Drosophila melanogaster: one gene and its partners. The protein of the gene in region 2 interacts with the protein of the main gene of each other region in a pairwise test. Each region holds a gene or a part of one and is shown on either strand. Other genes may lie near its edges.

The links.
Region 1: the proteins of CG2865 (region 2) and CG13287 interact in a two-hybrid assay, tested with the Drosophila melanogaster proteins (one large-scale study listed by BioGRID).
Region 3: the proteins of CG2865 (region 2) and zfh1 interact in a two-hybrid assay, tested with the Drosophila melanogaster proteins (one large-scale study listed by BioGRID).
Region 4: the proteins of CG2865 (region 2) and term interact in a two-hybrid assay, tested with the Drosophila melanogaster proteins (one large-scale study listed by BioGRID).

What each region holds. Positions count from the first base shown.
Region 1 is NT_037436.4:5,880,722-5,884,615, reverse strand, and holds CG13287 (uncharacterized protein), read right to left. Parts: upstream 2,313-3,894; 5' UTR 2,210-2,312; coding exon 824-2,209; coding exon of another isoform or gene 797-823; 3' UTR 526-796; downstream 1-525.
Region 2 is NC_004354.4:2,290,354-2,295,273, reverse strand, and holds the start of CG2865 (uncharacterized protein), read left to right. Parts: upstream 1-1,862; 5' UTR 1,863-1,921; exon of another isoform or gene 1,922-1,980; 5' UTR 1,981-2,584; coding exon 2,585-2,949; intron 2,950-4,920.
Region 3 is NT_033777.3:30,763,978-30,768,954, forward strand, and holds the start of zfh1 (Zn finger homeodomain 1), read left to right. Parts: upstream 1-1,948; 5' UTR 1,949-2,306; coding exon 2,307-2,403; intron 2,404-4,977. UniProt on the Drosophila melanogaster protein: Involved in the development of the embryonic central nervous system, embryonic mesoderm and adult musculature.
Region 4 is NT_037436.4:18,591,748-18,595,766, forward strand, and holds term (terminus), read right to left. Parts: upstream 2,025-4,019; 5' UTR 1,865-2,024; coding exon 578-1,864; 3' UTR 556-577; downstream 1-555.

The DNA of each region.
Region 1 (3,894 bases), on a different chromosome or scaffold from region 2:
CTGCTGAATCGCAACTACAGAATTCACTGCCTCACTGCGCTAATAAGTTGAACATATTCTTCGCTCTACTAACATGGCGTATGTTACTTTTGGTACCCGCGAAAATCTGGTGCTTTTTCTGGTCCTGGGAGCCTATGTTTTCGGTCTACCTCACAATCGAAATAATGGGTTGTCCGGCCAGGAATTCAAAGAACTCCATATGCTGCCAAATCAAGATATCTTCGTCTTCTAGAATCCCTGGTTTGGGATTCTTTTTTTCAAAAATTAATTGAATTTTAAGCTCGGTTGTCTTTTGGGATTTCTTATTAAGGTGGCGTCTATATAAGCTTAATCACATTATTTCGAAAGCATAGACAACTCATTGGCTTTTGTTTAAGCTTTTCAAAAATATTTGATTGCAATAATCCTCAAGCTCATTTTCATAACATGATTTTAGAATACTTCAGATCTACTACAAGATAAAATTTCCCATTAACCCAAATTTTATTAATAAAACGTGATTACTATTGAATTGGCATAACAATTAGATTTTTATTGAAACATTCAGCCACACATTGAATTTGCAACTTAGCCATAATATCTTACAATGATGAAACTGAAGATCCTTTCGGGTCCTTCGATAAGAAAGATAATTAATTGAGATACAGGGAGATCCAGTTACATATTTAAGATACAAATTGCACTACATTTAAAGCTAAGGGGAAATTAAATCGGAGCGTGGGGGAAACTAAAGTTAATATCACAATCGAAAATGGGCAACGGGTTTTGTTTTTGGGGAGTTAGTTGACTTGATGACTTAAAAATATCCGAAGAAATGCTTCGATCATTTGGGCATACCACCCATTCGGCGACCTGGCGGTGTGCCGCCGACCACGTTGATGATCTCGTTGTCACCGGCAGATGAGGATGAGTCCTCCAGCTGCGGCTGGTGATCACTGGCCTTGTCCTGGTGGGCGGTCATGTGTCGCGTTAGATGGTGTCGCTCCCTGAAAGTCTCCTGGCAGACGGGACATCGGAGTTTCTCCTCCCGCTTCCGTCGATTTGGATCGCAGGCCACTTCGCTTTTGTGATGGGATCGCATGTGATACACCAGATCACTGGTCATCCGGAAACTTATGTTGCACTTGGCGCACACATTCTGAGCGGTCAGTGTAAAAGTGGATGCCAATGTGGGTGGAATCAACGTGGAGAGAATGGCTGCTGCAGCGGGATTCTGGAGAGGTTGGGATACCGCGAATGGATGTGGTGGCGGAGCAAATCCGGGATAGGCATGCAGGAACTCCGACGGTGGACCCGGTGGTGAGTTTGCCTGCATAGTAGGTCCTCCTCCATTGGGATTTCCAGGTCCTGGTGGACGGGTGTACAACAACTGCTGCTTAAGGCGCTGCTGTGCCTGCAGAGCCTGCATGGGATTCACCGCCTGGAAGGCTCCGTTGAACTGATACTCCGGTCGGAAGTTGTGGTAGACTATGGGATTTGCTGGCAGGGGATTTGGATTCTGGCCACCGCTATTGGTTCTTGGTGGAGGTGTCACCAATGGTGGACTTATCGAGTGACAGCTTAGCTGATCGGGACTCAAGGGCGGAGCTCCCGCATCCACGGGTGATTCCAAACGTGAAGTGGTCGATGGTGAGGATGATGAAGTGGACAGCGACGAGGAGGCTACTTTGGTAAAAGCGCTGCGCATGGGCGGTGGTGGTGAAGAAGTTGATGGTGCCTCTGGAGAATCCACCAGGGGTATGACCACACTGGGATCATCATAAACCCGCGGCGAACGGATGCTGATCTGTGGATACCGCTGGCGTGCCTCCAACAGACTAATGTACTCCAGTGCCGCCGGCGAAGGTGGTTGCGAGGAGGTTCCTCGAGGAGACAAATCTGTGGGATAGTGGCTCATCTGCTGCTGCTGCTGTTGGTGGTGATGATGGTGCAGTGCCTCTTGAAGGCGAGCCTGCTTCTCGGCCTGCTTTTGCTTAATCCGTTCATCGGGCATCATGAGGAAGGCCACATCGAAGGCGCGTTTAAGAGTGGTCTTTCCACCCGGTGGCGATGTGGGTGTCTCATTGTTGTTATTGTGATTAGTGGTTTGATTTTGCTGCGGTGACTGTTGCGGTGATGTGGAGATCCTAAGCTCGGCGTGCTGAGGCGGCGTTGGGCGACGCTGGCCAGGATTCGCGTGCGACGGCATGCTATCCATGAGCAGATTCATTTTCACTTCAATACACTTTTCGACTTTCACTTGGCTCTGGTAGGGACTTTGGGTCTTTGGTTCTATACAGTTCCTTGCGATTCGAAATTCCAGTTTCGACTGCTGGCCGCCCGCAATCTGTTCCTCTTTAAGTACCCGCTGCCACAACCACCGCGTCCAGTTGGAATTCTCGTATTCTCATATTGTCCCATTCAATTGGGAAAAAGCAACTCTCCGCACTCGCGGCACTTGGCCCATCTGTCCTGATTCTGCTCGGAGTCTGTTCAGATTCAGGTCCTGCAGAGAGCACCACCCTTATGTTCCTGCTCTTGCTCTTTCACTCCCGCTTGTCCTCTCTTTCTCCAGCGGTCTTCTCTCTCTTTCTTTGGCCCACTCTCCGTCTCTCCAGCGTTCCATCTGCTTTGCCAGTTGGCGAACATATTCTGTGGTTTTATTGTGCGAGTCCTAGCCAGGACGACTCCTGGTTGGCTAGCATTCACGGACAGGTTGGCTTGTTCGAAAACCTTGTTGTGCTGTATGTGATGCATTGGTACAATGGGCAATGTTGTTGTTAAAGTTGTGTGATATTATTTAAAAAACTTAATTGATTAAACTTAGAAGGATTTGAAACTAGGGTCATCTATATGAGAAGTTACTCTTATTCATTCAAAAGAGTTGAATATCTTGAAGTAGTTGCGCTTAAACTTCATTAGGTAAATGTTTTCAAATATTTTACAATAAATAAAACTTTTTCGCATGGTTTCCATTTAGATTTTTACCAAAACATTATATTTTACTAAATTATTTTCCCTGTTCCGCCCACTGTGCACTCATCTCTTTTCGCAAGGAGGCGGTGCTTGATCCTGGCCGCTCTCTCGCTTGCTCTCTCTCTCGATTTGCCTCTCACACCCACCCCGAAAATATGGCAGGACCTGCCCTCTCTGTCTGGCTCTATGCCCGTCTCTGTCGGTGGTGATGTCCTTGTTGCAAGTGTTTCCGAACAGGTTGTTTTTGTCGATTTTTTAGCAGTTCCAGCGAGATTGTGTGAATATGTGGCCATGTTTTGTGCTGGTGTATTTGTTGCGTTTGTTGCTGCTGGCTTGGATTTTGAGTATATGCTGCGCGTAGCTTTTACATATTGCCAACTACACACACACACACACACACACACGCTCTGGAATTGGGGTTCCCCCGTTTTGTAGGCGACTGTTGAGCGTCGAAATCTTTCAACATACCGAAATATTTATTTGTCAGTTAAGTTAGCGCTATGTGGAAAAAGTGGCAAGTGCCCAGTAAATATGCACATGCAACAATAGCAAATTGTGCAATGCCTTCCGTTCGTTTTCCGTCTCGTTCTGATCCCCCGTTTATTTCCCTTTTTTCCGGCTAGACCCTAGATCCTGGCAGACCGGATGCAAGGATGTGGCCATTGCCAGGACAAAATATGTGTCTGTTATGGTCAGTCGTGAACAGGGTTTGCAGCTATGGGGTGTATGTATATTTTATTTAAATTTTCGACTCTTTTGTTGCACTTTTTGCTTGCAGCCATGTGGCTGCAGCAGCGGCAATTTAATGTTTGCATATTTTCAGGTGCTAATTGTTCCACTTGCCATATGAGTTGCATTTTTAATTAATATTTATAGCCAACAGCCGAGTGTGCGAGTGTGCGTGTGTGTGTGTATGGGTGCATTTGAGTATCTGTGTGC
Region 2 (4,920 bases):
TGTACGTACATATGACTTATGTACATACATATGCTCATATATGTACATATGACTTATGTACATATGTACATATGCTCATATATGTACATATGTATGTGTGTGTGGGCATTATAAAAGATGAACTACTGAGATCGAGATCGAGTTGATGGCACTATACCAAGAAACGCGCGCAGGCAAATGTTTCTGGCTTATTTGTCCTCTTGTGACACAATTAGCTGATAAAGTTCCTGATGTTTTTCCCCGCAGCGTCTGGCATGTGAATCATCATCGTCATGGGAGCTTTTGTTTCTGGGAATTTCAATTTTGAATAAACAAAATCAAAACGAGAACTTTACTTCTTGCGGCTAAACACTTTGCACAAACACGTGCAAACTCTATGTTTGCATTTGCGTGTGTGTGTGTGTGTGTGTGTGTATGTCGTCATCGACCGTCAGCGGCGCCTTAATAATAGTACACAAAAATGATAAACAAAGATCCCCCCACTCACAGCACTCGACCCCTCCAGCCATTCACAACGCACGCTCATGAACTCTTCCCTTTCTCTCGCACTCGCACTTGCACTCGCTCTCTCTTTGTTTGAGTGCAAATTTGCATTGTCTCTTTGTGCTCGCACACAAACATATGTATGTATGTACATGCACGCAGACATAAGTGCGCACATAATCACACACGCTGACTAGTGCCAAACTGACCTCACAATTGTTGTTGTTACGATTATTTGTGCCCACTTTCTTGCTTTTGTTGTTGTCGTTGTTGTTGTTGTTATTTTTCGGATCATGCTAAAACTGTAAATGATGAGATGAACTTGTTGAAGAGGATGAATCGAGCTGGAAACGGGGAAGGGGGTTGATTCGAGCTCGCATTTCAAAACCTCAAAATACATAGTTTATAGACCTTCTACAGAGTCATAAGCACACATACATACATACATCCATGTATGCATACATCTTTGAGACAACACTTAAAAAACTATTCTACTTGGATTCTGATTCGCAAAACAGACTATAGGAGCCACTCTACAAGCATGAACATATGTATACATGCGCATATGTGTGTATTTAATTTTGTTAAACCCGTTAAGCCGAGCCGATAAGTTCAAGGGGTTACCCCCACGCCTAATTTGGCAATTTCAATGGATTCGAATGATTCCATGTCAGCGCCGTGTGGATTTCTCAATTAGCAGTTGCCGCAAGTGTAGGTGATTGCCTTAGCAAGTACTTTGCATAGCCAAATCCAGCCAAAGTCACTATTTTTACATAATAAAGGGGCAGGAGCAACAACTATGCGGATTATGCTCATCACCGAAGCGCCCAACCACTCAAACACCCACGACAACACAAATACACCACCCACTGACCAGCGATTTGCTTCCGTTACAAATGAGTAAAAATCTTTGCGACAAATATACATACACATGTACAGTGCAGGTGGAGAGAATAGCACTGAAAATGTAATTACAGTTTTAAGATATGTGGGAATATTGGAAAAATTATGTTAGCAATTTGCAAGTTGGAACTAAGATTATTGTGTCTGTAAAGATTGTTAATGCAATATGTCAATTAACTTAGTTCATACAGAGCACCTATATAAAGTAAATCAAATCATTTAGCTTGAGACGATTGGCCTAAAAACTTTTATTTAAGCGCCTAGGTGTTATTATTTGTTTGCCTCAGCTGTGTGTATGCATGTACAAATACGCACGTAGGCCATTCGCTCTCTCACTCTCTCTCTCTTAGGCGCTCTCTTAAGCCACTTCCGTTTGAACGCAAACATCTGTGCGCTCTGCCACCGAGGGCAGAGGCAGCGACGCCACTGCGGCAGCGGCTGCGAGCGAACGTCTTTCATTTAGCGTTTGCGTTTTTATTTCGTTTCGAACGCGAGAACCGTGCGGACGTGTGCGGTTGAAACAGGAACCGAAACAGTAAGCCACGGTGACCAAGCACAAAGTTCTCTTCACCCCTCACCTTAAACCCTCAACAGGCGGCCACCGAAAAATTAGAAGAGACCACTAAGAAATAGAAACAATTAATGTGAAGCCCCGACCCCTCTGCAATTTTGAGTCAATTGTGTGCCTAAAACTAAACAAACAAATCTGACAATTTTTGTTGAATTTTTTTATTGTGTTTGACTACATAGCGTAAGCAAGTGCAAGTTCTTAAAAAAAAAAAAAAATAAAACACAAAAATTCAAAAGTCCTGGATTATTTTGAATTTTGCCAAACTTCAAAGACAACAACAAAAGCGGCAGGCTCGACTAACGGTGAACAGCCAAGTGAAATCTCGCAAGGCAACAACAAAAAGAAAAACAGAAATCAGCAAAAAGAAAAGAAAAAGCAAAGTCAGACAGAAGAAGAAGCAGCACCAGCAGTACCAGCAGCAGCAAGTGCAAGAGAGCAAAAAGAGCTCGCAAAAGAGAGCGTATGTGAGCCGAGTGGTGTGACTTCCTTGTTTCAAATAATTTATCGAAAATCACTCGAATCAAAATTAAATTGCAAATCAAAGCAGCAAAGTTGTTTTCTGTCTGTCAAAGAAAACCACATAAACAAGCCAGCAAACAAGGCACACACTTGCTTGAAAAACGCACAATGACCTTGCCCACAAACACACACGCATCTGCAAACGACGGCGGCAGCGGCAACAACAACCACAGCAATATCAGCAGTAACAACAGCAGCAGCAGCGACGAAGACTCAGACATGTTTGGACCACCCCGCTGCTCCCCGCCCATCGGCTATCACCATCACCGTTCCCGTGTGCCCATGATCTCGCCAAAGCTGCGGCAGCGCGAGGAGCGCAAGCGGATCCTCCAGCTCTGCGCCCACAAGATGGAGAGGATCAAGGACTCGGAGGCGAACCTGCGGCGCAGCGTCTGCATCAACAACACCTACTGCCGCCTGAATGACGAACTGCGGCGCGAGAAGCAGATGCGCTACCTCCAGAATCTGCCCAGGTGAGAAGACAGTTCAATTTAGTCCTGACTCACTCACACTCACTCACACCTAATCTCATTTGGTTAGCAGTATGAATAGGTTTAGTATGATTATGGATTTAATGGCTATGAGCCAGTGACCTTAATTAAAAATCTACTGCGATTAGTGCAACGATCCAGTTGCCTAACTCTTGCATAAGTAGTGCAATCGTCAGTGATCTCTTACAAGATTGTAGTTAGCAAGCTATAAGATAGTTACGTTGTTAAGAAATCCATACTTATAGCGCCTGTGATATATGCATAGCGGTTATAATAGATCAACTTTAGTACTCCAGAGGTACGAACCCATGAATATGATTGCAACGGAGCTCCTTTGTGCATCGAACATCATTGTTACGAGTGTGTTTGTTGTTACATTTCAAGCGACTTACTCAGCAACTAACTAGATTTTTCTATTTTTACATTCACTTACTCAAAGCAATAAGCAGAAAACCCAGTAACTTACTGTGTCCGGCTTTTGAAATATGAATATCTTCCAGCCGTCGGGTTAAAAACGAATGTATTTGGTATTTGGTGTTTGGTCATAAATATAGCGAAACAGTTCGAATGATGTAGATGTAGGGATGCCCTTTTCAGCGCTCAAACCACTTTAGCCGATTCTATTTACATTTCCACACTTTTGGCCAGGAATTATTTGTTGTACGAGAATTGAAAATGGCCAGGCATTGTTGAGTAGTTAAGCTCATGTAAAATAGATTTGCAATTCAGCAATTATGCCTTCAAGTCAAACCAATTAAGAGACGCAATTTTGTGGCATTTGTGTGTGGCGTTTGTTTCTTTTTCGGTCGGTTGCATATTTAGATACAGATTCAGATTCGAATTGAGATTCGTATTCGAACGCAAAGGTCGAGCTAAGCAGCCGACACAGCTGCTGGAAAACCCTTTGATACCTGATACCTGATACGGTATGTAAATTTTGCCAAATAAATTAACTCATTATGCGAGTGGGTGGAGTGTGTCTCGCAATATTATTTCAGCCTCCAGTGCAGGTTACACTCATCATCATCATCATTATCACGACAAGCGAGGCAATCATGATGATGTGTATGTCATGTGAACTGTGAACTTGGGGGCGACGCCCACGCGGCGGATGCTTGATTTGTTTTTGCCCTTTTAAAGTGCGTGGTGCGTATTGTGCTCGCACATGCATACATATCTATATTTATATACTACATACATATGTATATTTATATATAGCTACTGCTGAAGTTACGGCTACAGCTACAGCTTTAGCTTTGGCTATACACAGATGTGCGGTTGCCTGGGTTTTAAAGGTTAAGAGTTGAGAGTGGGCGACTTTGCTCTTTTCCCAGTTGCGTGGCATTTGCGGTAGTTAAAACTGAAAGCTGAAAGCTGAAAACTGAGCAGTAAGCAAATGCGATAATGCAAGGTGTTGAGATGTATGTATATTCGTGTGTGTGTGTGTGCGCGATGCATCCGTAACCGACTGATGGCTGACGGATAGTAGCATGTGAAAAGGGGGGAGGGGGGTGTTTGAACACCTAATCGACGCCAATGTTGAATGATTGCTGATTTTATGGCTGCATCTGAAATTGGGACTTCGATTTGATAATGATTATTACTTCACTAGCTCAAACGTAATTTGCTACAATTTGTATCTGTGCTCCCAACTAGCACAAAGTGTCAGTTTGGCAGTGCCAACGATGATGCAATTATTCAGGCCCAAATACAAATACTAAGCAGCATTTTCTATGGCTTCCATAAGGACTGTCTGTCCGTCTGTCCGTCCGTCCGTCTCTCTGTCTGCCCCTTTCCACTGGCTGGCCAATGCTCAATGCCGATGATACTGCAATGTTGCAGCAACAATCCGACAGATACGAATATACTTGTGAAGATACAATGGGGATATACATGCATACGTACCACGTACAGATACGGATACAAACACAAGGAAAGCGGCATATTTCATAG
Region 3 (4,977 bases), on a different chromosome or scaffold from region 2:
TACGAGCTCATTGCAAGAGATGAATTATTTTCAAGTCCAGACATAAATATCTATTCTGATTCATTCTCGCATATATCTTATTGAGTCATTTTCCCACTTCATCAGCCTCCAATTTTCCCTGGGGCTTTTCCGCCAATCGAACGAGCGCAACAGGTGCAACCGATGGACGACCAATGTGCGCACCTTGCTCGCTTCTCATTAAACACCCACGCCACCTCACACAGATACTCAACACACGCGCACGCGAGTGAACGGCAACTAATTAACATACAAAATGAATGCGAGGCAACAAAAAAAAAGCGGCCTCTCCGGCGGCTATCTCTCTCTCCCTCTCTCTCGCTTGCACCGCCGGCGCTCTCTTTCCCGCTCATGGCAGTACGTTTCAAGTGAGAAAATTATGAAGCTCCACCTATTTTACACTTACACACACGTAGCGACCGCGTTTGTGAGTGTATGGGTGTGTGAGGGAGAAGGGGGAACACATGTTAACCGCATTAAAAATTAATGTACAAATTGTTTATTATGTTGTCGAGTCCGCCTTTTGTTTTTGCTTTTTATCAAAGAGAGCATGTTTCGCTTTTTTTTTCGATAACACAATTTCTGTTACCATAAATATCTTTTTATCCATTTATACTTTTAGTTTTCAAATCTATATGTTTCTTTGAGCAGCAAAATATAAAGTACAAAAAAAGCAACATCCCAAGGGGCCGCCAAAACTTGTTGATGGAGCCAAAGAATCAAGCCACTCGCATTCTGCTCTCTTCGTTAGAATTCTTCGGTTGTCCGGGATCTCTTGGATCTCTGTTCTTCTGTCATTTTGTAGACGTGTCCATTGATGGACATTCTCAAGAACTCGCCCATCAGCAAACGATGTCATTAATGTGTGGCAATCGCGGAACGATTTCGGTATTTCTTACTCGGAAATCGCAGCAGAGGAAATTTTGCAATCGCAAGTGCAAATGATTTTGTCCGTTAACGCAGCGATGTGGCCAGGAAAGGGTTAAGGGATTCCCTGGAAAAAAGAAATCCCCTTTATCTCGCACCGCCAAATTTACCCGAAAGAAAAACGATCGAAAGCTTTCTTGAGTGGGGAATTAATCATAGCGATATGCATACATATGTGTGTAATTCCCACACGGGGAATATTTTGTCATAAACTTGATTTACCGGAAAGACTTAAAAAATTATAATACAAGTATATAATTAAACTATCTTATTGCTGTTCAATTCTGGGAATTTCAGATAATTCCTATTTATTGTTGAGTATTAAACTGTTTATTAAAAATATTTCCTAATTATAACAATTAAATATGTAAATCACTTAAGCTCTACACTTTAATATTGATACCCAGCAGCACAGAGTATTAATAAAATAACACCGAAATAAATTTGACGGTTGGCGGAAAAGTTAATGGAAAGACTCATAAGTCGCTTTATCAATAAAAACGAAATTTTGTGCAAATGTTAATATAGTCAAATCCCGCATAACGGCCATATGTTTACGAGCAGCACGATGAACAAAAGAGGCCACCCTTACGTAGTGCTTACGTCACGGGATAACCGAGAGGAGCGGCACTAACAGCGCTTAACATTTACGATATGCGATAACAGAGAGCTGTTATGTTAAGAATGAAGCGCTCTCGCTTCTCTGGCACCACCACCAACACACCACCCATCAGAGCATTAGAGCACCAACCACACTACCCCCGCCCGAATCACCTCGTACATCGGAACGGTGAACCGTTACACCGTTATATTATGCTGGTGGTGGCACGGAGCACACACACAAACAGCGCCGCCCTCTCTCACTCGCTCTCCGTGGAAACGTAGAACCCCGCCGTATCGCCCTCGCCCGAAACTCACAGTTCGCATCCGACGGATTCGGTAGAGGACGTCGGTCTCTGTTTCGTTCTCGGATTTGGCTTGATGCTTCGAAACTTAGAACTCTGAATTCAGTTGCATCGTAGACGTCGCGACGGCAGCACACGCGTCGCTCACCCACAGAGAAAACTCTGAGCAGCACACAGTAGAATCACGCAGATATAGAACGCAGATCAGTGAAATCGCCCACAAAATAAAAACAAACGCGACACTCGCAGCGGCGCATCGCGAAGAAAAATCCCAGTGTTTCCCATGTTCGAAAGATAAAAAACCCAAGGCCCTTGCCCAAATGGCCGCCACAACACGTGTGTGCTCTATAAGAAAGAAATAACGCCGAGCCCAGAAGAACCCACTAGCCAACTAGCCAACTAGCCAAACAAACTATCCGCATCAAAGTAGAGCAAGTGTTGCAACAAGCATTCCAAATGTTGTCCTGTCTGGCGCCGTCGTCTTCACGTTTCGGCCAAGAGGATACCATCATTCAGCAGAGCATGCCCTCCACCTCCCCCTTCGCCATGCAGTGTAAGTGATCAGAACGCGGATCTGGAGCACAGATCTCGGGTGATTCATCCGCAAACCGCCTCCATTATCACCAATCAGCCGTGCCATAGAACTTTGTGTTCAAGTGATTCGCGCGCCAAGACTCGGTAGCTTCGATTTGAAGATCCCCACATGCAAGCTTAGCAGTTTCCCAGAAACCATCCGCCATCTTGGGTATATGTGTGGTCTCCACCTTCAGGGGATCATAAGAATGAGTAGCTATAGAAAAACAAACTCATAAACGGCGAGTAAGGATCGAGGCAGGTCTCGAATTACCATTACCTACTCCTACGCAGAGAACGGGCTCCGGTTCTCAAAAAGGAGAGAGCGAGCCCGAAACCGAAAAAGTTTGCCCGATCAGCACACTGAGAGAAAACTGGGTCACTTTGTGCAACTTCTATACGCTTTGAGAACTTAAAGAACTTATTGTTGTTCAACTATAATCATTCGCTGGTTTTCAGCTACGAAAGTCCTTTTCCATGAGCTAAAACTACAATATAGTTAAAATTAGTACGGTTTAACATGGCAGATCATTCGATTTCTTATATCTATTGGTCATATCACGCTCTTCACACATGAAAGTCGGCCAGTCGATCTTGAATAATGGCATTATTCCCTGCATTGCATAGCATAGCCACCTCTCTGTTCCTCCCAGTGGCCGACCAATTGCAGCCACATCTCAATTTGATTTGTTGGCACCGCCGAAACAGCACCGCCGCCTTGCCAGTAATCTCCACCCACCGAGAACCAGGTAGAGCTACCCCTGACCAGGAAAACCGCATGCGCAGGCTGAAACAGCAGACGACAGGTAGCTAACTTGGCCAACACCATTACCGCGATGCCGCACCTCCATTTAAGAACCTGTTTTATGGCCATATTGCTGGTCGCTTGCCACTCTGTTTATCGAGTGTAAACAAAGCATAAAACTGTCAGTGGGCAGAGCTCATCGGTTGAAATGGAAGGTGTGAGAAAGAGCCGAAATTAATTGAAAACGCTTAGTTGGGGAGCATTGGGGATGGCGCAATGCTGGGGAAACGCCCACGATTCGTTCGGTGCTCCACTCCTCCGACTCTGACAATTGATAAGCCAGCTAAAGAGACGGATTAATTGCACATGTTCGGTGGAAACGGTTGAAACGGTGGCAACACCGCTGCCATAAATTATAATTTATGGCTATTTAAGCAGCTCCGTTCTCTGTGGGCGGAACTAAAAGCCCTCGAACACGATAGTTTGGCTAATCGATCAGAGATGGCTGCGCACAGGTTGGCCCACATATCTTCGATCCATATACTTTCCGCTTGTTTTCCGTCTCTTCCCTGGGCAAACCGAGCTGCTTGATGGCGCTGGGCAGCTGCGACTGCGATGGATATTAATCGCCGGCTACATACGAAATGCTGTTCGCTGGGCTTTTGGAAAAGCCGGGGGAAAACGCCAGCCAGCCAGCCAGCTAGTCAGCCAGCCAGCTAGTCAAGTTGTACTAATTTTCCGGCTGCTCGGCGTGTGTTGTGTCGCATTTCGAAACGGCTCCAAAATGCCGTAAATCAAAGATTTCGCCCTGGCGAAAACCTGTCGCCTGTTATCACCTTCGACTACGCCCCTTAGCTAAATATACTCTAAATATACTCTATGTATAAATCAGCGCCAATTTCCATTCCCATTTTCGCCCATCGAAGCCCTGAGCAGAAATTAAACATTTATCTGACATTTGCATCTTCGATTGGGAATACCTACCTAGTGTGTGTGTTCCACCAGCAACAAGATTGCCTCCTGTCTAATTAATCATTTTGGCTGCTGTCAGTGGATGTCAGTTTTATATGCTGGTGCTGTCGGTGCTGCCATTTATAACTCCTGGCCGGCTCATCCTGCATCTTTCACCGGGCACAGGACTCTGCCCCGTCAGCTGGTAATCGAAATTAAACAAACTTGGCCCCACAAACTATCTGGCAACTGGCATGCAAAGATGATTAATTTTGCCGATGCCTATCTCAAGTGGAGTTGGAGACTTCGGCCCGACTTTGCCCAAAATAAACAGACTGTGTCTTTAAATTGCAATTGAGCCAGGCTACAGAGCAAAAAAAAAAAAGGAAGCTCCCCATTTGCAACCAGCACAAAAGGACAATAAATCAATGAGGGGAAAGTCCTCTTTGATATCCTGCTGCAGATTCCCTTTATTCCGTGTTCAACCTGCCGCAGCTTTGGGCAAATTATTTGCCACATTTTACTTTTATTTCGCATTTTGGCCAAAAAGTAAATTGTTTGCCAATATTTTTTGCTGCTCGCTTTTTGCCGCCGTCGTGCACACAATTGAAACAAAGATAACTTTGAAACAGTTGTAAAGTGAAAATTGCACGGAATGCAGCCCGCCTCCTTGCGAATATATTTTTTCTTATTTATTTAATGCCCGCCGCTCTCCACGAGACAACAATTGCTACCCGTGCTATCCCCCGAAAAAAAAGTGCCAAAAAATCGGCGCAAACAAAAGGGTGCCCCCTGCCACCCAACCCTTGCAACACCCCCTTAAAAAAGGTGTTGCCAAAGGGCAGGCAAAATTGCAGC
Region 4 (4,019 bases), on a different chromosome or scaffold from region 2:
GATCTACAGGACTTATAAAGGTCTTATAAATTATCGAGTGGAAGAACTCAGAGAAGAAAGGCGTCAAGTTTGGTGAAATCGACGGCAGGGAATATTAAATTATTGATTTAATATAAGGGTGGTAAATCAGACGTAGCATACATATTAAAACTGTTGGCTATCTGCCCTGAGAAAGCCAAAATCCTGCGCTCATTAATAAATCAGCCTGTTGCATTCGCACACATATAGTTGGGGCTACAAATATAGGTACAAGCATGTTAGTTACAAATGTTAGTATTTTATTTAATCTGGTTAACAACAGTGGTTAATATTTTTGCAGTCGGTCCCGTACTCGGTCACGTACTCCTGTCGCGGAGATGTCTGGATGTCTGCCAACGACAGTGGCGAGAGGTGCTCACAATTAATAATAAATATTGTCTTAAACGTTTGGCTTTGCAATAAAACGTATAAAATTCCTAAAAATTTTCACCTATTATTAAAAGTTATTAGCTATTATTGCAACCGCCACTACCCTTACATTGATTTACCCCCTGGTTAAAAGAAAGAATTAAGTTTCAGCTTAAAAGTTATCGTTTATTTAATAAAATTTACAAGGACTATTGTGCTGGGCGTTGCTGATGACGACACACGGGCCGTGCTGCACCTTCACGGAGCTCTCGCTGCGCCAGTCGCACTCGATGGGCACAAACTGACCCTTCCGCATCATGGTCTTGGGCTTGGTGATGCCGTAGCAGGCGTGCTGGAAGACGCTTCTCGAGATGGGCAGGCACTGCTCGTAGATCTCCACGATGTCCGCGTGCATGCTGTCCACGGAGAAGTCCTGGCCACAGCGCAGCTTCTGGTGGATGTGCAGTTTGCTGCGTCGCGAGAACTGGGTGCGACACCTCCGGCAGTGGAGGTCCTTTAGCGGCGAGCTGGTCTGATCCCTTTCGATGGAATTGACGGGGGTGGAGAGCTCGTGGAGCCGCTGGAATTGGCCCATGATATTGTTCAGGATGAGGAAGTTCTTGTTGGGCAGCTGCTGGAGGGTTTCGCTGATATGATAGGGCACCACATACAGCTCCTTGGTGGTCTTGCACTGCTGCAGTCCGTAGAGATTGACGCGCATGTTGGGCGGGAAGTAGCCGTTGCACTCGCGGAAGTGCTTCAGGTAGGCGGAGCGCAGACTGGCAAGCTCTGCCTCGCTGGTGGAGCAGCCGGTAGTGGCGGTCAGGCCCTCCTCCTCCTGAAGCTGCAGGGGTAGGGCGAAGACGGACGAGTCCGCTGACTGACCGTCCGCCTCCACCCTAATCCTCTTCACCTGTACTTTCAATCTGGTGATGCTGCACTCTGCCATGCCGTACTCGCTGCTGCAGTTGAGGTAGTTTTCAATCCTCTGCATAAGCATCTCGTAGACCACGCCCACGGATTCGTCTACGTCGTAGTGGTGGTCCGCCCTCAGCGAGCCGCTCTGAAAGATCAACACCTGGTCCATGGCGTTCACGTAGCAGGCCAGATTGAACTCCACGGCCACGGTGTTGTTCTGGAACATCCAGCGGAGAAGCTCGGGGATTCCCCTCGCACAGGTCTCGCCCATGAAGTGTTCCAGCTTGTCCTTGGAACTCTCGTCGCAGAAGAAGAAAGTCTCGATCTGGCGGGCCTCGATAATATCCATAACGGCCTGCTGTTGCTTGGTAAGATGCAAGCCCTGTGATGCTTCTCCTCCCCGCAGCCAATGCTGGGAGGGCGGCTCATCTGCGTCGATGGAGCTGTAGCAGGTGGCACATTCGTGTAACTGGCCCTGGGAAAACCACTGGTGGTGGAATGTCTGCGTGGTCTCCTCGTTGGTAAAAACGAAGCTGGAGATTATGGGCTCGTCGAACATGATTGAGATATGGAAACTTTGGATTCGAAAACTAAAGGTGGATATAGCTTTGTTGGACGATTTACCAATTTCAGGCACAAATAGATGATTACTCTTTCAGTTTGCTCCGGAAGCACTGAGATGTATCTATGGCAAGATTCAGTTGCTGAGTGATATCCTTATCTTCGTCCACCTGGCTTATATACAAACTAGTACTACAGGGTAACAGGTAGACTGTGAAGGTACATATATCCTTTGGTGTTACAAATCTACTTGTGGATTTTCCTTTTACCTAATCCGTCATATATTTTATGAGCATTCAAGTTGTGCTAATAATTGAGTACAACAGCAGCTGCGCGGTCATAAAGTTTTATTAGGTATAGGTGTATACGGTATAATCTGTTTTAAAAATGATAGAGCGGCTGGTATTAGATAAACGACGCCTACGAAGGGATTGGCAGTCTAATAGATCACCAATTACAAAGCACATGCTTAAGATACCCACACGCAGGCTTACCAATGCTCTCAAACAAGAGGAAAAAAACAGCCAACGTTCATATATCGAGCAACTCTCTCCCACCAGCACTAAGTACCCTCTTTGGAGAGCTCACAGAAACCTAAAGACTCCAATAGCGCCAATTATGCCACTACGAAGTCCCTCTGGCACCTGGTTTCGAAGTGATGAAGAAAGAGCCTGTGCTTTCGCTGACCATTTACAAAATGTATTCCGACCAAATCCCTCTACCAACACATTTATTCTCCCTCCTTTAATAGCAGCCAATCTAGATCCTCAAGAACCCTTTGAATTCCGACCATGTGAACTAGCAAAGGTTATCAAAGAGCAACTGAACCCAAGAAAATCGCCTGGCTACGACCTAATAACTCCAAGAATGCTCATTGAACTCCCAAAGTGTGCTATTCTTCACATCTGCCTGTTGTTCAACGCAATCGATAAGCTTGGATACTTCCCTCAAAAATGGAAAAAGTCGACCATAGTAATGATTCCAAAGCCAGGAAAAGATAAAACGCAGCCATCATCATATAGACCGATAAGCTTACTAACATGTCTTTCAAAGCTGTTTGAAAAAATGCTACTCCTTCGGATTAGCCCTCATCTTAGAATAAACAACACACTTCCAACACATCAATTTGGCTTTAGAGAAAAACATGGAACCATCGAACAGGTCAACCGAATCACGTCAGAAATTCGTACTGCTTTTGAACATCGAGAATACTGCACAGCCATTTTTCTAGACGTCGCGCAGGCATTTGACAGAGTGTGGCTCGATGGACTTTTGTTTAAAATAATCAAGCTGTTGCCCCAAAACACACATAAGCTACTGAAGTCATACCTATATAACAGAGTGTTTGCAATAAGATGCGATACAAGCACTTCACGCGATTGCGCAATCGAAGCTGGAGTGCCGCAAGGCAGTGTACTGGATCCAATCTTATACACCCTGTATACGGCGGATTTCCCCATAGACTACAATCTAACAACCTCCACGTTCGCTGATGATACCGCGATACTCAGTCGCTCCAAATGCCCAATAAAAGCCACGGCACTCCTATCCCGACACTTATCATCTGTAGAACGATGGCTTGCCGACTGGAGAATTTCAATAAATGTTCAAAAATGCAAGCAGGTTACCTTTACCTTAAACAAACAAACATGCCCACCACTGGTCTTGAATAACATATGCATTCCACAAGCCGACGAGGTAACATATCTGGGTGTTCATCTGGACAGGCGGCTCACTTGGCGCAAACATATAGAAGCCAAATCGAAACATCTTAAACTTAAAGCAAGGAACCTCCACTGGCTCATAAATGCTCGCTCTCCACTTAGTCTGGAGTTCAAAGCTCTTCTATACAACTCCGTCTTAAAACCTATCTGGACTTATGGCTCCGAGCTGTGGGGCAACGCATCCAGAAGTAACATAGACATTATTCAGCGAGCACAGTCAAGAATTCTGAGAATTATCACTGGAGCGCCGTGGTACCTTCGGAACGAAAACATACACAGAGACCTAAAAATCAAATTAGTAATCGAAGTAATAGCTGAGAAAAAAAACGAAGTATAACGAAAAGCTGACCACCCATACAAATCCCCTCGCAAGAAAACTAATCCGAGTATGCAGTCAAAGCCGGCTGCACCGCAACGACCTCCCAGCCC